Linked DNA regions of Rhinolophus ferrumequinum. The protein of the gene in region 1 interacts with the protein of each later gene in a pairwise test. Links are inferred from orthologs where the notes say so. Each region holds a gene or a part of one and is shown in the gene's direction. Other genes may lie near its edges.

The links.
Region 2: the proteins of RGL2 (region 1) and RAP1B interact in a two-hybrid assay, tested with the Homo sapiens proteins (2 studies listed by BioGRID and IntAct). The link is inferred for Rhinolophus ferrumequinum from reciprocal best matches to the Homo sapiens genes RGL2 and RAP1B.

Annotation. Positions count from the first base shown.
Region 1 is NC_046286.1:3,641,842-3,654,139, reverse strand, and holds the start of RGL2 (ral guanine nucleotide dissociation stimulator-like 2), read left to right. Parts: upstream 1-7,611; 5' UTR 7,612-7,770; intron 7,771-7,984; 5' UTR 7,985-8,022; coding exon 8,023-8,181; intron 8,182-9,452; coding exon 9,453-9,536; intron 9,537-9,778; coding exon 9,779-9,957; intron 9,958-10,086; coding exon 10,087-10,137; intron 10,138-10,226; coding exon 10,227-10,524; intron 10,525-10,788; coding exon 10,789-11,040; intron 11,041-11,123; coding exon 11,124-11,227; intron 11,228-11,321; coding exon 11,322-11,406; intron 11,407-11,485; coding exon 11,486-11,554; intron 11,555-11,735; coding exon 11,736-11,810; intron 11,811-12,298. Other genes in the region: TAPBP (tapasin), read left to right, coding at 3,263-3,661, 4,057-4,398, 4,481-4,570, 4,683-4,717, 5,849-5,860. UniProt on the Homo sapiens protein: Probable guanine nucleotide exchange factor. Putative effector of Ras and/or Rap. Associates with the GTP-bound form of Rap 1A and H-Ras in vitro.
Region 2 is NC_046293.1:64,827,626-64,839,711, forward strand, and holds the start of RAP1B (ras-related protein Rap-1b), read left to right. Parts: upstream 1-6,164; 5' UTR 6,165-6,347; intron 6,348-12,086. UniProt on the Homo sapiens protein: GTP-binding protein that possesses intrinsic GTPase activity. Contributes to the polarizing activity of KRIT1 and CDH5 in the establishment and maintenance of correct endothelial cell polarity and vascular lumen.

The DNA of each region.
Region 1 (12,298 bases):
ATTTTCTCACAGCCCTGGAGACTAGAAGTCCAAGATCATGTCCAAGATCAAGGTGCTAGCAGGTTTGGTGTCCGATGAGAGCTCTCCCCTTATGTTTGTGTCCTCACAGGAGGAAAGACAGACAGCTCCAGTGTTTCTTTTCTTATAAGGGCACCAGCTCTATCAGATTAGGACCCTGCCTTTATGGCTTCGTTTAACCTTTCTTACCTCCTCACAGCCCGTCTCCAAATATAGTCACATTGTGGATTAAGGCGTCAATATGTGAATTTGGGAAATGGGGAGATCACAGACCATGAAAGTTTTGTCTCTTAAATCTCTTTTATTATATAATTGCCTCCCCGCTGATGCTATTGATTTGTTATTTGTTCTATAGAATTTCCCACGTTCTATATTTGCCCAATTGTTTCCTCACTGAGTCATTTCCCTTGTTCTTTTTTCCTCTGTATTTCTTATAAATTGGTAGAGGCTTGACTAGATTTGAGTTTAAACATTTTTCAGTAATACTTTATAATAGTTGCTATCATTCCCTTTTTTTTTTTTAACAGAAAAGCAAAAACCTATACAATACAAGCTGCAAAAACAGATAGAAATTTCCTTACTATTCTGGCCCTGCTGTATTTACACTTGTATTTTTATGGCGTCCAGTTTGTGGGCTTCAGGTCTAAAGTTGCTTCAATAACCCACCCATACTAAAGAGCACTGTTAGCTTAAGGGGTAAACTGTAAAACCTCTAGGTTTTGCTTACTGTGTATAACAATTCCAAAGTATGTTTCTGAGTTTTGATAAATTAAGTGACATTGCCTAATTTTTTTACTCTGATGAACAAAAACAATCCATGGTGTTGAGAAAAGTTTAACCTTGTATGCCTCAGAAACTAAGATTAAAAATCAATACACATGATCACAAGAGAAAAAAATATTACTTCCACCTGGAGGACCCAGATATTTTGGGGAGGAAGTAACAGTGGAGCTAACCTTGAAGGACATGGAGTATTTAGATGTTTGGGAGGAAATGGGGAAGGACACTGAAACTGGAGGAACTTTATGACCAAAGCAAAGAAATGCCCATTGATTAGTTTCTGCCAGGAAAGGGATTCTGTGTAGCTTGTTCTTAGGGTGCAAGAGAAGTCTGGAAAGTTGGGTTGGGAGTTAAATTATCAATTACCCTGAAAGCTGGCCTTCATTGATGAACCATCAGAAGTTTTTTTGTGTGTGTAAGCACTATTTTTCCAAAGAGCCTGTTATTTTACTTGATTCTTACCCCCCTCCCCTTTTTCCACCTCCCCCCGCCCCCTCACTCCAGTTCCAGCTGTTGTTTCTCAGTCTAGTTGTGTAGGACACAGCCCCCTGGCCCATGCAGGTATTATGAGCCTTGCACTCCTCCCAGCTGAGGCAGTCGGTCACCGGCTGCTCAGGGCAGCCCACGGCAGCCCAGGGCAGTCCATGCCCACCTCGGCAGCCCAGCTCCAGGGAGAGCTGTTGTTCACAGTCTTAGCTGTAGAGGGACAGTGATCCAACTGCCTGAGCCACTGGGCCGGCCTGTTACTTATTCTTACAAAAGGTAGGCAAGGACCAGGTCATTGGACTAATGAGGAAAATATAGATTCAACGATTTTCCCAAGATATCCAGTCGACGATGATGATGATGATAGTAATGAAAATAGTAACAGCTAACATTTATCAAGCGTTTTCTATATGCCAGGTCCCTGTTCTAAGCACTTTATAGGCATAATCTCACTTATTCTTCTCAGCAACCATAAGAATTACATACTGATATTATCCCCATGTCACACATGAAAAAGTCTGAGACTCAGAGCAGTTAGGTAACTTGCCCGAGGACACACATCTAGCTCCCTGAACTGCTGGTTTCCAAGGTAGCAGGGATTTTTAAACAGGCAAGTGACTGGATCAGACTTGTAGCCACACTGGCTACAGTGTGAGGGATGAATTGAAGGAGAGAGACACTGAGGATGGGGAGACCAGAGAGGGGGCTATTGTAATTGTCCAAATGTACATTGATGAGAACTTGAGTTGGAAACAGGTGAGATCTATTAGGACCTGGTGGGGCTAGCACAGAGCATGTTATAGTCGACAATTTCCTCATCTGTCTCCCATATTAACCTGTAAGCAATCTGAGGGCAGGCACTGCCCATCTTGTTCACTAGTCTGTCCTCTACTTTAAACATCCTAAGTGTTCAATAAATATTAGCTGAATGAATGAATTAGAGGAAGGAGTCTTGTGACTCCCAAGTGTTTGCCTTTAGTGTCTGGGGGACAGGTGGTGATCACTCACCAAGGCAGGAAGGATGGGCTTTGGAACAGGGTGGGGGGTGTTGCAGAGATGCTATAGTTGGGCAGGCGCTTAGGTGTAATCACAGCAAAAGCTTTTGTAGACTTACTGTGTTCCAGGTACTGTTCCAAGTGCCTTTCATATGTAGGTGTCTTTGTTATCTAGAACCAGGAACTGAATAAATCTGGGTAGCAAAAGGGATTAAATAATTTAACCCTCACTACAACCGCATGAAATAGATACTATCACCATGTTTACTAGAATATAAGACCCGGTCTTATGTTAATTTTTGCTCCAGAAGACGCATTAGAGCTGATTGTCTGGCTAGGTCTTATTTTCGGGGAAACAGGGCATCATCAGTGTCATCTTTAGGAGATTAGGAAGGGGAGCCATGGAAAAGTGAAGCAACTGGCCCAAGGCCACATAAATAGCTTCTGAGCTGGGATTACCCCGGGCAGCCAGGCTCCAGGCGACATTGCCTCATTAGAGAATAGAGGTCTGTGTTCAGGTCTAGGCCAGAGCCATAACCGTTCAGGGTCAGGAAATAACCTGCATGGCACCATAGAACCAACAATCAGAGTCATCGTCCTCACCAACAAACCAAGAAAGCCTCGCTCCTGTAAGGGTGGTGCATGGAGACCGGACTGGTTCGGGCTGTGGCAGAAGTGCACTCACATCCCGCTGTCCCCAGAGCTTGAGCGGGCTGTGTTCAGAGCAGCCTGCAAGGGCTATACCTGCAAGGGCTCCATTACCTCTAGACCTTTCTGCTCAGCCTCAGTTACACTGGCCCCACCGGGTCCCAGAACAGGCGATTTGCAGGGAGGGCTGGGGATGGTGAGTCTCAGAAAAGGAGGTGTCCTCTGAGGGGTGGGAACATTGGACTTGAGTCCTCCCTATAACTCCATTTCTCTGTTTTTTTCTCCTTTCTTTCCTTCACGCCCCTCCCACCCTCTGCTCTCCCCATTTTCCTCAGTTGTGCTGACTGTCCTCACCCACACCCCCACCACTCAAGTCCAACTGGGAAAAGACGCTCTGCTGGATTTGAGCTTTGCCTACATGCCCCCCACTCCAGAGGCCACTACGTCTCTGGCCCCAGGTCCCCCTCCCTTTGGGCTGGAGTGGCGACACCAGCACCAGGGTAAGGGGCACCTGCTCCTGGCTGCAACTCCTGGGCTGGATGGGCAAATGCCAGCTGCCCGACATGGGGCAGTGGCATTTGCTGCTTGGGATGATAATGAGCCATGGGGTCCATGGACCGGAAATGGGACCCTCTGGCTGCCTGCAGTGAGGCCCTTCCAGGAGGGCGCCTATCTGGCCACCATACACCTGCCATACCTGCAAGGGCAGGTCACCCTGGAGCTTGCTGTGCAGAGTGAGTTGGGGGACACGGGTCCTCACGGGTAGAGGGGAGACATTATGGAGACACCATGATAGGGGAGGGATGGTGGAGAAGAGGATGTTGGGTGAGTGGGTGGAGATAGGTTGGGGTGTCTGGGAGTCAGAAGGGCAACGGATGGAGGATCCCTGGGAATCTGAGGGCTTTGGGGACGAAGGTTCTCAAATCTGAGGGGACAGGGATCCCTGAGAACTGAGGCGTTGGCATGAAGATTCCTGTGATGCACCAATGGGGAGATAGTGGGTTCCCCATCCTGAGAGAAGAAACCCAGACACTCTTCAGTTTTGGAGAAGCCAAAGGACAAACAGGGTCTCTGAGGGAGGACAATGTGGATTGATTCACCCCATGCTCTTTTCCTACTCTCTTCCCAGAGCCCCCCAAAGTATCCCTGATGCCAACACCTCTTGTATGGGCTGTGCCCGGGGAAGCACCCCCCGAGTTGCTCTGCCTCGTGTCCCATTTCTACCCCTCCGAGGGCCTGGAAGTGGAGTGGGAGCTCCGAGGAGGCCCAGAGGGCAGCTTTCAGAAGGCCCAGGGAAAGAGGTGGCTCTCAGCCTTGCGCCAACACTCTGACGGTTCTGTCAGTCTCTCCGGGCACCTGCAGCTGCCCCCGGTCACCTCTGCACAGCATGGGGCACGCTATGCCTGTCGTGTCCACCACCCCAGCCTGCCTGCCTTGGGGCGCAGTGCTGAAGTCACCCTGGAAGTGGCAGGTAAGAGCCAGGATAGAGAAGGGGGGTGGAGGGTACCTGAGAAGATACTCCAGAACTCACTCTTGCCCCTCCTACCCTCCAGGTCACTCTGGACCCTCCCTGGAGGATGGTGTAGGCCTCTTCCTGTCTGCTTTTCTGCTCCTGGGGCTCCTCAAGGCACTGGGCTGGGCAGGTGAGTGAGCCCCGCCCCCTCCACCTACAGACGCTCCCTGCCTCCTCCCAAAAGCCCGCCAGCCATCCTGCCAACCACGCCCCATCCCATCCCTTTCTGTCTCTCTCCACAGCTGCCTACCTGTCTGCTTCCAAGGAGTCAAAGAAGGTAAGAGCGCTTCACCTTAGCCTTATCTTTCCCTTCTCATTTCATGCCCTTCCCCCAACTCCTCACCCATGGAGGGAGCCTGCTGGCATGGTGGGCAGAACCTAGACTTGGAATTCACACAGACCTGGGTTAAACTCTGCTGCCTTGAATATGCTACTTAACCAATACCTCAGTTTCCTTGGGAATAGGGATAACAGCACTGTCCAATAGAAATGTAATGCAACCACATCTGTAAATTTAAATAATCTAGTAGTCACATTCAAAAGGTGTTGACGAAAGAAACGTCCAAACCTGTAGAGAATTTTTATGTTTATTTGAACCGAAACTGACAACAGTTACAGGGAAGCAAGATCTCAAATGCTCCATAGAATGAGTTTGCAGCTTCTTTGATGTACCTTAGGGAACTTAACGAAGGTTACCAGAAGGTGGGAGAAAGCAAGGTGGGAACTGGATTACAGGATAGTTAAAATTATTTGCTCTCTTAAGGGTCGTTACAGCTTATTTCAAAGGTGTGTTAACCTAGATGTACAGGAAAAATGGACCGGGCTTGCTTAAGGCAAAGATAAATCTTTTACTAAAGAAGTTATAAACCTGGGCCGTGACTACCCACCATGAGCTGCAGTTAGGAGCTTGTTATGATCGGGTCACCCTGGGAGGTTCCTTTCCGTAGAACTTTTTCGTCCTGAAAGGTAAAAAAGAAACAAGTAAATTTAATATACTTTATTTCATCTAATATACCCAAAATACTATTTCAGCATGTAATCAATATAAGAAATTCCAGTGTGTTTTTCTAAGTCTTCAAAAACAGGTGTCTATTTTAAATTGTCAGCACTTCTGACTGACCGCATTTCAAATACTCAGTAGACACGAGGGTGGTAGCTATCGCACCGAACAGTGGAGCCCTCAGAGGGCCGTTGGGAGGATGAAAGGAGATAGTGTATCTCCTTTGGCAGATGCAGGAGCAAAAAAACTCACCAGTGTCTGCCAGGCAGATAACACAGAAAATGTTAGCCCCATTCTTCTCCCACCCTCTGTACCCATGATGGTTCCTTTATCTCGGATTAACCATGAGCTCTTCACCAAGCTTTCTAAAACCTCAAATTCCTCACCTCATTTTTACTTCTTTTCCAGAAAGTACAGTGAGGGTACTCAACACCATGCTGGGGAGCCACCATCATCTCTGGCCTGAGCTGCTGCAGTAGCCCCCCCCCCCCCCCCCAGTATGCCATCACCTGCTTCTGCTCCTTCCCATCTCTCTCCACTGAATGGCTGGAATTCTTTTTTTTTCAAGACCCAAATCTACAGCATTCACGTTCTTAAGAGCTCTAGGGCAGTGGTTCTCAAAATTTTTATCTCAGGACATCTTAAAAATCAAGGACTCTAAAGAGATTTTGCTTATGTGGGTTATAAACTATTTATCATACTAGAACTTAAAACTGAGAAAAGTTCAAAGCAGAAGACACAAGCACACATTCCACTAGCTGTGAGGGTGATGTCAGTACACATGTACCTTCTGGAAAACTTCACTGTACGCTTTTAAGAGAATGGGCGTGAAAAAGACAAATAACATCTTCGCAGTGTTATGAAGAGACTTAACTTTGTATACCTAGTGCAATAGTCTCAGGGACCTCTGGGGCAGGGCCCACACCGGAAGAACCGGTGCTCCAGAGGCCAAATCCATTCTTGCTCTTGGAATATGCATTTCCGACGATGGTGCCACTGCTTGACCTCTTCCACCCCTCTCAATGCTCGTCACACGGACCGCTATTCCTCTCCTCCAGTGGCCTCCCACCCTCCCGTTGGGTCCCAGAACTCTGCTCCTTCTGCCGGGTTCGCACTCGCTCTCCCTGGGGTCCAAATCAGGTCAGCCTCGTCATTCCCCTCAGACCCCCGCGTGTCCCTCTAGTGCGGTTCACCATGCTTGTATTGAAGTGATTGTGCGAGTCGTTGTTAAAGCCCGTCTCCCCTTCTGGACTCGCAGCTCCTCGAAGGCAAGAACCCGCGCCCGCAGTGGGCCTAGCGCCCACTGGAGGGCGCTCAGTGGAAGAAATTACAGAATGTTTTTGGTCCTAAATATTCAAAAACAGACGTGGGGTCAAATAAGTACAGGACGAAGGAAGCGGCGGCTCAACGGAGGGGCCTTCGAGGGGCTGGACGGTGGGCCAGACCGGCAGGGGGAGCGGGCTTGGTCCGATGGGAATAAAGTTGTGTTCCAGTGCTTCCAACGGGTGTCTCATTTCTACCCCAGGCTCCCCTTTCTAAGCACAATGACTCCACCAATCACCTCCGGTCCCTTCCAATTTCCCCGACCTCCCGGCGAAACCCAATCCCCCTGCGAAACACTTTGGGGTCGGACGCCCGCTAGCACTAAGGTTTCCCTGGCGACCAAGGGAGCGGAGATCCCGGCCTCAAGCGCCGGAAGCTGCCGAGCGCCCACTCTGGAACCGGATGTAGCGGCTTCCTGCTCCGCCCCCTCTCCTAGCGGGAGGCGGGTCCCGAGGGCTCTCCGCAAAACCCGGAGTGGATTTCGGGCCGATACGCGCGTGGGTGGGGTGGGGTGTGTAACCCCGCGGGGTGGAGTAACTGGGTCCTTCCACGCTAAAACGCGTACCGCGGGAGTTTCAGTCTTGTGTGGGGGGAGAGGAATGTCAAATTCTCCTGTCCTCCCCCGGAGCTGGAGACTAGAATCTTTATCCCAATTCAGTCGGGGCGACGTGGGCTCCAGGATCCCCCAGTCAGTGGGGCCGGAGGACAGCGGAGCTGGGGACCCGGGCTCCTGGGTCCTGGCCTCTGGCCCCTGGGCGTCCAGCACTCCCCTAGTCCGTGGGCCTGGCTCCTGTCCTCACTTCCTTCCCTTTTTGGCTCCTGCTCTCGGAACGGGCGGACGTTGGGGGGAGCGGAAAGGGCGGGAGGGCCCGGGAGCCTGGCGGGGGGGTACAAGGGGGTGCGGAAAAGCCGGGGAGGGGACTTGGTCTGGGGACTCGGTCGGGGGCTGGAGACCGACAGGAACAGCTGCCCGGGACCCGCGCGCTGCCCCCACCCCTCCCGAGCAGGTCAGAGCCAGAGCACCTTGTGATCCTGCCCGTTCCCGTACTCGTGACCCCTTCATCCCCCCAATGCACTAAGGCTCCCCATATTTCACCCCTGTGTTGCTGCCCCCCCCCCGCCTCCCTGCAGGACTCGTTACCTAGACAACTACCCGCGTCCCTCCCGAATCCCGGGCGCCCACCTGCCTCTCCACCCGCCCCCCCTCCTTTCTCTCCCCAGGCGCCCCCATGGCCCGACCCTGCTGACTCCCCTCGGCCATGCTCCCGCGGCCTCTGCGGCTGCTTTGGGACCCGAGCCCCCCCGGGGGAGTCGTGCTGAGCAGCTTCCGGAGCCGAGACCCCGAAGAAGGTGGGGACCCAGGTGGCCGAGGCGTGTGCGAGGGACAGGAGGAGGAGGAGGAGGAAGAAGAAGACGAGGTGAGCTGCAGGTGGTGGGAGGTTGGGGGATGTATTTCGGGGACTCCACCTTTCCGTGTCTGTGTCCCTGCATCTCTTCCCCCCGACTCAGTTATTTCCGCTCCTCTTGCTGGTGTCTGTCTGCCTTTCCCCTGGCTGCGGGGAGTCCTGGCGTTTCTGTGGTTCTTTGTGGCAGTGTGACTCAGGACCTGCCCGCAGGAACCTGCTCTGTTACTACCAGGAGCGTCTGGCTGGCTGTCCTGCGGGTCTCTGGCCCTCTCCACCAGGGCCTGAGTGTGCCTTCCTCTCTGGGCTTTGTGTCTTGGTCCCTTGTTTTTGTTTGGCGGGGAGGGGTTTGTTTCCACAGTAACCGGCTCCTCTGACTCTGGGATTGGGGAGGGAACCCTTCGATTTCGTGACCCCTCCCCCTCTCCCTCTGGGCGCTGGGTGGAGGTGGGAAGCCAAGGTTCTTGAATCTTGGAGGGACGGTCCCAGGCTGAGCCGGGATGGTCACCTGCTTTCCTCCCGGACGAATAGTGGTGGCCAGGAGCAGGATTTGGGGCCTCAGGAAGGGCCTGAAGTTGGATTTGGGGCCCGGAGGCCCTGGGCTCTAGGGTCCAAGGGCTGGGTGAGGGCAGGGTGACTGGCAGGGCTGGTTTTTCGGGATCGGCTGGGGGAGGGGCTGGAGCCACGTGACTCTCAGAGTCTACCCCCCCACACCACACACACACATCTTCCCCACTTCCCCTTCTCCTTCCTGTACTGGCATCGGAGCCGCCACCTTGAGGGGGGTCTCCAGGGACCAGGGACCAGGGGAAGGGGCTAAGGGGAAGGACTAACTCTCTGGGCTTTCCAGTTCCTTCTGGGGAGGGCGGAGCATGCGGCTGTGCCTGTGACTGAGGTTTCAGCTTCTCAAGGTCTCTGCCTCTAGCTTTCTGTCTGTCGCTTCCCTCTCCTACCCTCTGCACCTTGCTTCTCTTTTGGGTTGGGGTTCAGCTCTGGGGGGAAGGGGCTACGGTAGTCTCCAGGATCAGGGTTTCTGCATTCCACCCACCCCTCCACTGCAACCCCCTCTACTCCACCGGGCCCTGAGGCGGCTTGGGTGGGGCTGTCTGAGCCCCAGTGGGGGAGACCTGGGGTCACCAGCCCCCCCCACCCCTCGCACTCGCTGGTACTGTCCCCTTCCGCCACAGGTGAGGGGTACAGAGGGAGGAGTAGGGCCTGGGGGTGAGGGCTGGGGGCAGTGGGTGGTAGTGTGGGCCTATCTGACCTCCCCTTCCTTATTTCTGCAGGCCCCTGTGTCTATCTGGGATGAGAAGGAGGATGGTGCCATCTTTACTGTCACAAGCCGCCAGTATCGGCCTCTTGATCCCTTGGTGAGATCATAACTTTGGCTTCTCACCTCTGACGCATCAACCCCAGAATGGCCAACTGTTAGGCCAGAGTGCTAGGTTGGAGGTCTGGAGACCTGGACTCTGCGGTGTGACTTAGGTCAAGTCTTTGGCCCTCTCTGAATTTTAACACAATGAGCCTGGATTATCTCCTAGAAGGGGGTTTCCCTAGAGATCTAGGGGCAGAGTTGAAGAAAGGGGTAGTGACTGACCTGTGTTTTCTCCAGGCCCCAACACCTCCCCCGCGTTCCTCCCGAAAGATCCGAGCTGGCACTTTGGAGGCTCTGGTCAGACACCTGCTGGATGCTCGGACATCAGGGGCTGACGTGACCTTCACTGCAACCTTCCTGGCCACCCACCGGGCCTTCACCTCCACTCCTGCCCTGCTAGGGCTTATGGCTGACAGGTCAGGGTCAGAGGGACCAAGGGTCACAGAGGTGTCTGGACTTTCTAAAGCCAGAATATCCCACCAAAATAGTCAAAGCCACTGGGGGTTTGGGAAAAATGGACAGATAGAATCTCTCTCCCACCCCAGGCTGGAAGCCCTTGAAGTTCATCCTACTGATGAACTAGAGAGGACAAAAGGGTGAGTGACCCCTGCTTCTTAACCTCACAGGCCCCTCTGCCTGAGCTGCAGCTTGACATCTGACCCCTGGCTGATTCCTTTTCTCCCAGGGTAGCCATCTCTGTGCTGTCAACCTGGCTGGCCTCTCACCCTGAGGATTTTGGCTCTGAGGTCAAGGGTCAGCTTGACCGGCTTGAGAGCTTCTTGCTTCGGACAGGGTATGCAGCAGGGGAGGGTGTTGGGGGGGGCAGCGCTGACCTCATCCGCAACCTCCGGTCCCGGGTGGACCCCCAGACCCCCGACCTTCCTAAGCCCCTGGCCCTCCCCGGCGATCCCCCTGCTGACCCCACGGATGTCCTGGTGTTCCTCGCTGACCACTTGGCCGAACAGCTGACCCTGCTAGATGCGGTGAGACCCTGACCCCCATGCCCCCTGCCCCTTTACTAACCTTTCCCTGACTCCAGATCCTTTCCTTGCTTCCAACCCTTCCTGATCCAGTTCCCAGCCTCCTCCGTCCACCCAGTTTTGACTTTTCCCCTTTTCCCCTTGGTTGTTACCCTTCAAACCCTGTGCCCTTCTGGTTCCTTGGCCAACTAAGAGCTTCACACCCCTAATATTGGAAGGCTGACCTCTCTTGTCTATGAACTTTAACCTCTGACCTCTGCCCCACAGGAGCTGTTTCTTAATCTGATCCCCTCTCAGTGCCTGGGGGGCCTGTGGGGTCACAGAGACCGGCCGGGACATTCCCACCTCTGCCCATCTGTCCGAGCTACTGTCACACAGTTCAACAAGGTGGCAGGGGCAGTGGTCAGCTCTGTCCTGGGGGCTACTTCAACCGGAGAGGAGCCTGGGGAGGTGACCATACGGCCACTCCGTCCTCCCCAGAGGGCCCGGCTCCTGGAGAAGTGGATCCGAGTGGCAGAGGTAAGAGAGAGGATTAGCCCTGTCGGGGACCATGATGTGGAGAGAGGTCCTACAGCTTCAGCCTCCCTCTGTGACCCTCACAGGAGTGCCGTCTACTCCGAAACTTCTCTTCAGTTTATGCTGTTGTGTCAGCCCTGCAGTCCAGCCCCATCCACAGGCTTCGGGCAGCCTGGGGAGAAGCAGCCAGGTGGGCCAGATGGCACACTGGACTGGGTTGAGGGCTGGGAAAGGGGGGTGCCGAGCCAGGCCTGTCCTCACGCCTTCTGCCCTCCATTCCCCAGGGACAGCCTCAGGGTCTTCTCCAGCCTCTGCCAGATTTTCTCCGAGGAGGATAATTATTCCCAGAGCCGGGAGCTGCTCCTGCAGGTGAGGCCTGTTCCCTGGTGTTCCTAGCCATCCCTACTCCCCCGCCCACCCCCATATCTCCTTGTTCTGTTACCCCCAGGAGGTGAAGGTGCGGCCCTCCTTGGAGCCAAATTCCAAGAAGGCCCTGAAGTCTGGCTCCCGTGGTGGGGTGAGTGCCTGGGAGTGGTTGTGAAGGACTAAGGAGTGTGTGTGGGGTGCCGTCTGAGGGACAGAAAAGGAAGGCACAGAGGGATGAGGACAATTTTCTGTGTCTTCTGAGGCAATGGAATGGGAAAGTGTGGAGGGATGGAGAGCCCTCAGGTCTGTCTGACTCTGACCTCTGACCTCAGGGTGTGGTTCCCTACCTTGGCACTTTCTTGAAAGACCTGGTGATGCTGGATGCAGCCTCCAAGGATGAGCTGGAGGTCAGTGCTGTGTGTGTTCATGTGTTCAGTGCAATGACAGAACAAATGGTCCTCGGGGTCAGACAGAACTCCCTCCTGAAAGCGGCTGCAGGCAGAAGCACTGAGGACCCACCGGGACTTGAGCCAGAGTGCCGGGGTCTTGGTTCTGTTCCTTTGGCAAGTTGCTGACCTCATTGTGCCTTAGTGATATATTTTTTTTTAAACCTTTTTGGCCAGGTTCTTGACCTCTTGGTGTTCTGTAATTTCTATTTCATTTTTTTTTAAAGATTTTATTGGGGAGGGGGAACAGGACTTTATTGGGGAACAGGACTTTATTGGGGAACAGTGTGTACTTCCAGGACTTTTTTCCAAGTCAAGTAGTTGTTCTTTCAATCTTAGTTGTGGAGGGTGCCGTTCAGCTTCAAGTTGTTGTCCTTTCAGTCTTAGTTGTGGAGGCCGCAGCTCAGCTCCAGGTCCAGTTGCCATTGTTAGTTGCAGGGGGTGCAGCC
Region 2 (12,086 bases), on another chromosome or scaffold:
TGAAATATTTATAGGATTACCCTGAAACTACCCGAATACGGAAAAAAAAAAAAGTACAGATGAAACATGAGTAGCAAAAATTAGGGGACATTTTGAAACATGTGTACATGGAGGCTCATTAAATTCTTCTCTCTATGTATATTTGAAATTTGCCATTATAATTTTTTTTTTTAATTAAGACCACTATTTGGAGAATAGATGGGAAGAGGGACAAGAGTAAAAGTACATAAACCAACCAGACAATGGAAATGTAGAAAGGTGGTCATATTTTAGTGATTTCAGAAGTAGAATCAAGAGGACTTGGTGAAGAATTTGGTATGTAAGGTAAAGGGAAATGTTAGGTTTCTGTTTTAGGGAGCTGGTACCATTTGTTGAGATAAGGATTCCTAGAGGAAGTGCAGGTTTGGGGGAGATCAATCAAGGAGAAACTTTCCAAGAGTTAACTGGCTCTACATATCCAGAGTTCGCCAGAGAAGTCTGAACTTCAGATACAGATCTATGAGCCGTTGACATTTAGATGGCATATAAAGCCATGGGAAAGACTGGAACTGCCCAGAAGAAAGTACACAACAAGGAAAGGGCCCAGGATCAAGCTCTGAGGGATTCCAGCCCTTACAGGTAAGGAGGAAGAAGAGATAGCCCAAAGAAAGAGTATGAACCAGCCAGAGAGAAAAGAAGACTCTCATGAGAATAAGGTGCGATGAAAACTAAGGCAACAGTGTTCTAAACGCTGATTAGCAGTAGTTGAAATAATTCTTTAAGAACTGTATTTAGTATCTAGGGATTCAAACAGGTTGTTTTTTTTTTAGCTTCTCTACTAATCACATTCTATTATAAGCTACCCATGCTATAAAATTTACAGCATTGTTTGCATTACAGAAATATTTTCAAGTTACAAGCCACTGACATAAAGAAACTTGAGAACACAACCACTCCTTAACTGAGGACTGTCATAAGCAAAGTAAAAGGAAAGTTTAACAAGCACTTGTTGAATTCTTACTATGTTTTCACAAAGTTTTATTGTGCCAGAGAATGTAGTAGGGACCAACATTTATTGAGAATCTTTTAGGTGACGATAGCTAACATGTATAAAAGTGCTTACTTCGTGGTGGGCATTATACTGTTTTTGTCGTTAACTGTTTTAATCCTCACCATAATTCCATAATGCAGGTTTTATCACTGTATTCATTTTACAATGAGGAAACTGAGGTGTCAGAAGTAAATTCCCTAAGATGAATGGAGCCTGTATTTGAACACTTACAATCTGATTCCAGAACCAATCCACTTAATAGCTACTCTATTACTTACATTTTTATATCTGGTCCATTATTCTATAAAATCTTTAAAGCACTACATTACAGATATTGTTATGTGCATTTATTTTAAAAATTACTAAAAAGAAACTTGGAAAGGTTAAATAACTGCCAGAGGTCATACATCCACTATGATCAGCTTGGAGAATCTAACGAAAATTATCAAGATACCCCACCCACACACACAAAAAACACTACATTTTATATCTAATATGCCAGACTGTATGATAGGTACAAAAAAAATATGCTTTTGGTTCTCAAGGATCTCATGATGGGAGGAAGACAAACACAATTTAAGTAAGGCCGTGTCTGATAAATATCAAACGAGTGGTACAAACAATAATTACTAGGGAAATTCTGAGAAGCAAGAATCCACTGGGTCGTGAACAATGACCAAGATTTAGATAAATACAAAAGAGACAGAAGAGATTTTCTGGCTGAAAGAACAGCATTTATAAAGGGATAATAGGGCAGCATGGTGCCAAAAGAAGGCAGACAACGATACAAATTTCAACTCTGCCCACGTATTTATGCATGGCCTTGGCACTTAGCTTTTCTAAGCTTTAGCTTTCTCACCTGTACAATGGGTCATTAAAATCTACCTCTTGAATTTGGTATTTATTATTGAGGTATGTGATTCGTACACAGAACTTGAAGTAAGAAGGACTAGAGGCTAAATACTATCATGATAAAGTCTGAGGGGATGCCTAACTCTGGAGCATCTTTGGCGTGATTATATTGTCTGTTTGATTTGGGGACTCCCCAGATTCTAAAAGCATTTATATATGTGGTTTTTGAAGATTTTCTTAAATTTTTTTCGAAAATTTCATGACAAGGGGTATTCTATCAAGTTGGTTCACTGAGTGGTTTTCTGCTTTAACGCTCATTTACATGATGGCTCTGGGAACATCATTTTCATTTATATGGTTTTTCTCAGTTACAGCTTAAGAAAGGGGGACATTTCAAGTATAATCTGTTCATTACATCACAGACATTAGCAATGACAAAATTATAGAACAGTTAGATTTATTTAGTGTGGTGTAGGCAGGTTTGGTGGCCAAGCCTACAACTGCTGAAAAAGAGTACAGACAGAATTTGACATATATCTTGAGACAAATAAGCAGTTATTACAGAGTAGAAAACATGCCAAACTGCCTCATTTTTTTCTTACATATAAGTATTTGGTTTCCCCAAGACAGAAATCTTAAAGGAACACAAACTACCCTAGGAGAGTATGAGTTCTGGGTTTTCCCATAATAGCAATGGTCTAATATGCTCTTATAGGTTTCTCAAGTGATTAGGTGCTAGAATTTATAAAATAACTGCACAGAGTTTGAATACAGTCTTTGACCAAGAAAACAAAATGAAACTAACTGAGGATTTAAGCCATGGCTTTTCTTTTTTTGCATCAACAAGCAGCCTTCTTATACTTCTCAACCTCCAATTCCAGCTATGCAGGGTACTGCAAAGGAATAGAACTATATTTGTATATTATACACTATATATATATATAAAAATATATAGTGTATTTATATGTTATACACTATATATATACTCTATATATATACACACTATATATATCTTTATATATTTATATATTATACAATATATATTTATATATATTATGATAAATATATATAGTGTATATACACACACACATACATGCATATACACATATGCACACACACAGAGAGAGAAAACCAGTAAGAAAGTGCCTTGAAAAGATCAATTTTCAATATTGTTTTGTGAATGAAATAAAGTAATAATATTTAAGGTTAATGACTATCAGTGCTAACCGATAACCATGCTTAACTGAAAGCTAAACAGCATAACACTTGTTAATGCTAATAATCATTAACTGTTAATTAGGAAAATTGTAAATTTGGGGTGTTTTAAATCTAATTTTGGATTTGCAATAAGACATGCACTTATATGGACTTTTGAAATGAAGCTAATGAGGTATAGATGTTACATGAAGTAAAACTCTTAAGGAGGTAAATAACATGAAAAATCACGAATACTGTATCAGGTTAAATGCATCAAGAATTTTAGGTGAGCACACTATTAATTCACTTCCCCTGAAAGGGGAAAAACTAATGTTGAGCTTCCTCTAGTCCCAGGGGCTAGGATATGGCTATTTTCTATACTTTATCTTACAACAGTTTTGCAAGCCAGAGGTTATTATCCCCATGTTATAGATGAGAAAACCAAGTCTCAACATGGTTAAGGAATTTGCCTAAGAACACACAGCTAATAAGTGGTGGAAGTGAACATCAACTATCCTGTTTTCCACTATTCCACAGCACCTTAGGAAAAGAAAACTCAACGAATACATTTCGAATGCCTATTATGTCAAAAGCACCATGCCAAACATGAAAAAATATATATCCTGATCTTATGATTTTATCTTCTAGTACAGGCAGGACCAACTACAAAATTTGAGGGACCCAGTGCAAAATGAAAAAGCAGGCCTCTTGTTCAAAAGTTATTAAAAATTTCAAGATGGTGACATCAGAGCATTAAACAAATCATGGGGCCTTTCTAAGCACAAGGCCCTGTCACATGTCCAGGAGGCTGGCCCTGAGTATAGGAGGGCAAATGATGGCCTGCTGCCCAAATCCAGCCCACTGCCTGTTTTTGTACAGAGGAGGTAAGAATAGTTTTCACATTTTTAAATGTTTTAAAAAAGAAGAATATTTGTGACATGGGAAAATTTTACAGAATTCAAATTTTAGTGTCCATAAATGAAGTTTTATTAAGAATACAGCTACACTCATTCTTTATATATCCGATGGCTGTTTTTGCACAAGAAAGGCAAGAGTTGAGTAGTTACAACAAAGACCATCTGGCCCTCAAAGTCTTAAATATTTATTATGTGGCTCTTTAAAGAAAAAGTTTGCGAACACTTGTTCAAGTAGGAAGGTACAAAACAAGTGACAAAAGAAAGGAGCACCACAGTGTTACTCAGAGTCGAAAGAGAAGAAACCACATTAGATTGAAAATATCAGAAAAGATGCTCTTTCTTGGAGAAAGTGAAGACTTTGAATAATGCGCAGGGGTGGGAAAGGGCATTTCAGGCAGAGGAAGTCACCTCTGCACACCAGAGGAGTGGGCAAGCACTATGTTTGGGCAAGATGAAAAGTCCACTTTGACTGGAAGGCAGTTTTAAATGAAATGGGAGTGTAAGACACAAGAATTTTAACTTTATTTTGGTATGGCGGGGGAGTAACAGAAGACTCTTTGAGGAAGAGAGTGACTTGCTCAGTATGCTTTAAGATAATTCATCTGGCAACAAGGTGTAGAATGGATCACTGCAGAAACAGACCAGAGTCCACAAGGCTTAAGTCTAAGAGTTGAGAAGTAGTGCCCACCCAAAAAGGGTGTTCTTAGTAGAAATGATTTACTAATAGATGTGCCAATTGACTGATGGTTGGAGAAAAAGCAGAGAACAGAGTGCCAGGTTTGAAGGCTGGGTAATTTCAAAAATGGTGATAACGGTTAATGAAAAGAAACTGGTTTTGTGACAAAGGTGATGACTTCAGTTTGCACACATGACCAGTTCAAGTTGCCAGTGGAATATCCTAGTGAAGATTTCAAGGAAATAGGAAAAAGGGGCTCAAACCCAAAAGTGAGTTCAGTGCTAAGAGATGTAGATTCTAGCATTCTGCATGAATTTCCTACATAGAGATAATAGTTTAATACAAGTTTAATGATTTCCAGTATAACGGAATAAAACAAATGTATTTTCAACTATTTTACACATTCTCTCAAACTTTGAATAATTCTAGCTCCAATCTTCTAAAACTGACTATGAAAAAAAATCAATTGCCCAAAGGTCAAGTAGAATTTCAAAAACAAAAGAAGAAAAAGAAAGAAAAAAACAAAACAGTACACCCAGGTAATATCTGCTTCCATGAACTCAGAGTTTCAGGCTTTCAGAATTCTCACAGTTTCACGCAATAATTGTAAAGTCAGTAAAGTTAAATTTATTTGAAATTCATTCATTCAGAATTCAATGACTCCCCGCCCCAAACCCCTACTTTACCCTGCACTTTGCTCTCTTTGAACCTCTCGCCCATCAAAACTTCGGTTCATAAAAAAGCCGATGTCTTGTAGGAAGGGTAGGTGTAGTTCAGTCTTTTCCCTAATAATGGTTAAGTTCCCGCACTTTTTGGAACCGAAAGTGCTTTCTGTTGCCCACCAGTCACATCATAAACCTACCTATGAGTAACCCTTTAAAGTGCCCGAGTCATGCATTTAAATAGGCGATTTATTTTATTCATATAAACGGTTGATTTAGGCTCAGAGTACAAAATTGTTTGGGATCATCGATTTGTTAACTGACTTTGGCAAAGTAAATTGGAAAGAGTTCACCCGGGTTAACACACCAGAGGATGAAATACTTGTCAATTCAAGAAAAAAACCTTCACGAGGCTCTAGGTGTGGACACTGCGCGCTGGGTTACTTCTCCAGCCACTTTCCCCAGCACAAAGGAATACGCAGTCACCAACTGTTTGGTGGCGTTAGTGACTGAATTCCAGTTTGCCTTAAAGACACCTTTTGAGTTTCGGAGGGTTTCTAAGCCCTTCACAATAGTGTAACCCGCTGACGTCCGGGAAGCCAACACGCGGATCCTCCCGGAGCCAGAGGGCCGAGGCCAGTTTGAAGGGGCGGTGGGGGCCGGAGAGAAACACCGCGGAGGAAACACCGTGAAGGGTACCGCGCGTGTCCGGCCGCCGCCGCGAAGGCGCGGAAGGCCCCGCCCCTCGGCTCCCCTCGCTCCGCCCCGCGGCCCCGCCCCTTCCCGGGCCTCGTACCCGCGCACCCCGCCCGCGGGCGGAAGCGAGAGCGAGGCTGAACGCCTGACGTCAAGGCGACACCGCCAAACCTCGCCCAGAGTCAGGCGTGTAAACCAGCCGGAGAGGCGGCGGCGGCGGCAGCGGCAGGACCGCCGTGGCGCCGGGACCAGCGACCCGGAGGAAGCGCGAGGCGCGGGGCGACGCTGGCTGCGGGGACTCGGTGACAGCGTGAGAGGTTCGCAGAGTGCGTGCGTGGCCGATGAAGGGAGCGGCGGCAGCGGCCGCGGCCGCGCGGGGCGGGGGCCCGGCGCCGGCTCAGAGGAGCGGGTGGGGTGCGGCGCGGGCCGGGCGGGGCGCGCGCGGCGGTCAGGGGCCCCGGCGGCGGCGGTCTCGGAGCGCGGCAGGTGGTGCGAGGGACCGGCGCCGGGCCGGCGAGCGCGCTGCCTCCCGGGCCGGCGGGGGCGAGCTGCTGCCGCCGCCGCCGCCGCCGCCGCGGGGAAACAGCGCGCTTTGCGGAAGGGGTCAAATGTCTGAAATATGGCGGAGGAAGTGAGAGCCCGAGGACCCCCCCCAGCACCACTCCTTTCTGCCCGCGGCCGCCTTAACCTCTCTCCTTGCCTGTAGTCCCCCGTCCCGGAGCCCCCTCGCTGGCCGCCTCGGTTCTCTTCCTGGTGTGGGTGGAAGTTAGAACGGAAACCAGAAAGTTGTCTTTTGCAAAGACCCAGCTTCCCCCAGCCCCGAGCCTGGGCGAGTGGCGTTCGGGGGAAACCACTCCCCGGCGCCCTGCAGGCTCGAGCCTGACAAGGAAAAAGTTTGCCTGAAACGGGGCTGGTTTGCTCCATTTGTTGAGGGAAGTGGCAGGAGGACGGCCGCGGAGGGAGCCCCACCTAGTCTGGCAGCAACCACTGCGTAGGGAAAAACTGTTAAAGGGGCCTTTCCCCTTCGTCAGCAAGAGGAAATCTTTTACAGAAGGAGAGAAAACCCAGGAAGTTTGTACTCTTCTCTTTTTCGCCATCTCGATTCTGTCCAATCCTAAAACTGACTGTCAGCGCCATGAATTTTATTTAAACCTACCTCCAGTGAACCGGAGCATCCGATTTTTCTTCTGAAAAAACTGAGGGCTTTTGGAGAAAAGATCATCCTTGCAGGTTTAAGCAGATTTGCTTTCCCTTCGCCTGCTCCCCCCCCCCCCAATCCTCTTTATTAGTTTAGAAAACCATTTTTGCCCTGCTACTCCTGTTTCGTATGAACATCAGCAGTTTTGGATTACAGTAACGGGAAGTCACGTTTTTCACGGGGTAGAAAGTTGACACTACATGAAGATTGTGATTTTTAATATTTTAAAATTATTTCAGTCTAATTGGATTTTTGTTTGATAATAGCATGTAATATATATCGAGTGCTGGTAACTTAAAGCTTCTAACTTGTAAATTCATTAACTCTCTTTTTTTGTAATTAGAATGCTGTTTGGACTTGCTCAACAAAACCTTATCTTAGCAAGAAGTAACTTATAAAAAAGGAAGACGTTCATTTAACTTCTAGTTCGTATCACTCCCAAAAGCTGACTCTTAAGTAGTATTTGAGTCATAATGGAGTCATGGGACTTTTTTAAGGCCCATAAAGGACTAATTTATTTAGATCATCCAGTCCCACCCTCTCATTTTATGAGGAGGAAACTGAGGCCTAGAAAAGATAACTAATTAGTAATCCTGCTGACTTTTAGGACTATCCTATAATAGGGTCCCTAGAGGAAGAAAGATGACATTTTTATAGTGAGTTACATTTTACAGAGGCTGATATTCCCATCATACCAGGAAAAAAAGGTGGATACCTTAGTGGAACTGGAAGTTTAGGTACTTTATTCCCAGGTGTTAGGAGAGGAGATTGATACTCAGGAAATTAAATAAAGTTAAGACACAGAGCCCTCAGTGATAATTTTATTTGAGCCCATCTCTGCACTACACAGTGTTTTTACTTGCATTTCCTTGTTTGGCATTCACAATAAATTGTGAGGCTGTCTTATCTGAGGAATCCCCAAAGTAAATCTTTGAAATACATATAGGCAGTTTGGTTTTTGTTTTTTTTGTTTTTTGGCAGTTTGGTTTTTAAGGTGCCAGGTACCAGGATACAACTGAGGAGCCCAGTAATAAATTGGCATAATTTTAAAATGTGGTGTAGGGCAAGAAAATGAATACTCTTCGTGTCTTTTGCCTTCCCCCTACCCCATGAAAGTCATCGCTCTTCCTGTCTATGACACATATCACTTCCTATCTTCTGTTGTCTTTATATGTATCTTTGTTATGTATCTATTCCACTAAATTGTGAACTCTAAAGACAGGATGTGTTCTTTGTATGCCCCAAAGCACTGGCATGGTACCTTGCACATAGACAATCCCAGTTAAGTGGAAGCACCATGAGGGTAGGAACTTTGTTTCATTCTCCACTGTATTCTTAGTTCCTAGAAACTTGCCTGTGTGTATAGTGTTTAGCATTTAGATTTAGGGATTAACTGTAATGAACATTTAAAGAGAGGATATTTGAAGAGAACTTTGTATCCCTTCAAAAAGAAACATTTCCACATTGGCTTTGGAATCTAACTTTACTAATTGATTTCCATTTTATCTTCAAAACAATCCTTTACTATAGAATTTCAATATTTTCTCTTAGCTGTATAAAGGGAAGATGAGCACCCATGGTAAGAAGCCACCCACCATGTAAGGAGGGCCTAGTCAAGTGTGATAGAGAATTGATCCACATACATAAGGATATTACCAAGTGTAATTTCCAATGTATTTTGGTAGAAGGCCTGTTATGCAGAGGTTGATAACATGGTAACTAATTATACATGTTGTTATAAAGTCAGGGGGTGGCCAGTCAGCTCAGTCGGTTAGCCCATAGTGCTAATAACAAGGTTGCTGGTTCCATCCCCAGATTCCATCCCCAGTGGGCCACTGTGCGCTGCACCCTCCTTAAAAAAAATAAAATTAAAGTTTAAGATTTGGTTGAGAAACTGCTCATGTTCAGTTTTGACTTTAATTGTAGGCACTTGATGAATATTTGTTAAAGAAGGGTAATCAGTGGAATTAGATCTGATACAAAGAGAATTTGGCTGATTTTATAAATCTGTCATTTTTTCCCCCCAGAATGTAATTTAAATAGGCAATTTTATTATTGAATACCAACTTCTTCCTGATACGCATGGATCATTTTCCTAAAGACTTAAAATAATGTTTTATGTGTTCCTGTGTGTGTGTGTGTGTGTGGATAAAGAAGGTGGGTATTGATTTGTAGTCTCTAGATTTGACTGGCACCAGGAGTCATTTAGTATTTATGAACTAAATATTAGAAAGCTGTTGTTTCCATGATGGCAATGATGTCTACATGTTCGGTCTAGGAAAACTTGAAAAGATAGATCTTTCTTAAACTTTGTAAGACCATATAAGGTTGTGGCTAAATACATGCCTTGGTATTTTTCCCCCTACTATCATTTTTGAGGACTCCATGGTCTTAGAGATTAGGCTGATATTTTTACTGTTAACCTTTTCCAATTGAATTTCTTTTAGAAAAAATTAAGAAACAGACATTTTGGCTGATGTAATGATTCATTGTAACATTGGACAAGTTTTCCACCAATCAGGAGTACTGTACCATGGCACCCTTGTGCTGAAAGCCTCATGTTTTTCAGTGTTCTTAGATATTTTGCAGTAGTATTGAAAGGTATTAATTACATTTTGAGGATTTAAGTCTTTTAGTTTATCAGTTCTGTGGAAACCTTATGAACACAATGGAAGCAGTAGCTACATACAATGAATTTATCCATTTGTAGTAAAGACTGGCTTGCTAGATAATCTGTTGTACTTTGTTTGAACCTAGTTGAGCACTGGATTCTAAGATCAATACCTTTAGTCATAGAGTTTCTATTTTAAAGAAGAAAGGTTATGAGGAACTTTTGTGCTGCCTTTAAAAAATTTAAATCTCTTTTTTAAATGTACCACTAACAAAAAGAAATAGCATTTTTCCATACATCCTAACACTGGTATGTTTATTACTGTTAGTCAAATTCACGGTACACAGCAATTGATTATTATTTCAGTAGTGATTCAGAAAGAATTTTTGCTTTGTATCAGTGGAAGATCAAAAAATTTGAAACTGTTTCCAAGGAACCTTGAAACTTAGAAAAGAAAAATAGGAAAATTGAGGGGACTGTACCAGGTTTCACAATAATATTTAAATCACTTAATCGAAAGAAAAAGTGTTTGCAACATGAATTGCAGAATTTCCATCTGGTTTTTATTATACAGAACAATATTCTTGAGTATTACTATGCTTAAAACTGTTTGCTGGCATATAAGGTGCTCAAGTACTAGAAATGTTACTTTTAAATTAAGAATCTTACTCTAACCACAAAGAGCAAGTATCTAATGTTCTGATTTTGAATTTTACATTGAGCTGAATCCTTAAGCTTACTCTTGTAGTTATGCAGTATTATAATTTTGGGGTTATGCTTCTACACGCGTGTGCGTGTGCGTGTGCGCACACTATGTCAGTGAGACCCTGTAAATTTAAACCGAATTCTTCTCTCATGAGACAACTTGCTGGGTAATCTTCTCCACAGGGGATTAATTTTTTTTTAACTGTTGTACCAGTAGACTGAATAAAGATGTTAAAGGAAGAGAGCATCTGTTAGAAGCAGTTACAAATAATTTTGATCACTTTAAATTGTTGATTCTTAGAGTCATCACTTTGACTACATCACAGAGCTGTTGCTGAGTTTCTCAGTAGTTGGTTTGAAATTTATTTCAGTAAATACATACTTTTAATAAAATAATTTTTTTTCCTATGTTTAAAACTTAGTATTTCGCTAAGTAACTTTATTTTGAATATATACTATGAACTGATTGCCACATTGGTGGATTACCACTGTCTGTTGCTTTCTTTTTCTTTGTCTTGTGGGAAGGGAAAAAAGATGAAAGAAAATCTGTTTTGTCCATTTAATAGCAGTTTTTGGCAAAAGCTTCTGGAGAGGAAATGGAAACTGTTACATGAAATAAAATTCTAATTATCTTCTAAAATTTATCCTTCTCATTAGAGTATGTTTTTCAAGTCACTTTATTAAAAAAAAAAAATAGGGTGACTTTGTAAAAGTTCTTAGTTAATGGAACTGAGGGTATTAATACAGACTATAAATATGTTATTTTCATTTAATAGTTTTTAGGTGTCAAAGTGGTATTCATATTACAGCCAATTGTTACCTTGTGTTTTAAGGTTCCAGTGAGAGTATTACTATTAGTTCGTTATGCCTACATAGTTTTATCTGCTGCTTCTGAGATCATAAGTTATTGTTAAGCTCCTTGGTAACAATAGCAAAACTCAGGAATTTCTCAGGAATCTTGAATTCTGTACTGTACAGGTAATAAAGAAGGATAGGGATGAGCAGTGTGAACGTGTGTATCTGTTATTTTCTCCTGCTCTTGCAATATCTTGAACTGGGATATTGCACTGAATTTGTATTGGTAAGACTGGTTGAGTTTTCATATATGTTTGTCTTTCTGATTTTCTTGTTAAAGTGTTTAGAATACAGAAAAGTATAAAGGAAGAAATTAATATCCCTTCTAATCCTACCAGTACAATGAATTTTTAGGCAAAATTTGTACTTCCCTTTCTGAATCTTTCTTACCTCCTTGCTTCCTCAGTGGGGAAGATGACCATATACTACTTCAAGTTGTCTAGGATTAAATGGAGTATTATACATAAATGCTTATAAAAGAATATACTAATGTAGTATTAGTTCTTGTTTGTTACAAAGCTTTTATTTTCCTGTAGCATTGCTATTCCCAGTGGAGGTTGATGTGATTATTTGATTTTTAAGATTTCCCTTAAGGTATGAATGAAGACGAAGAAAGAATCACTGTGAATGTGAACAGCTTAACATATAAATTGTCTAGCTCAGTGGGTTTCAAAGTATGATCCAAGG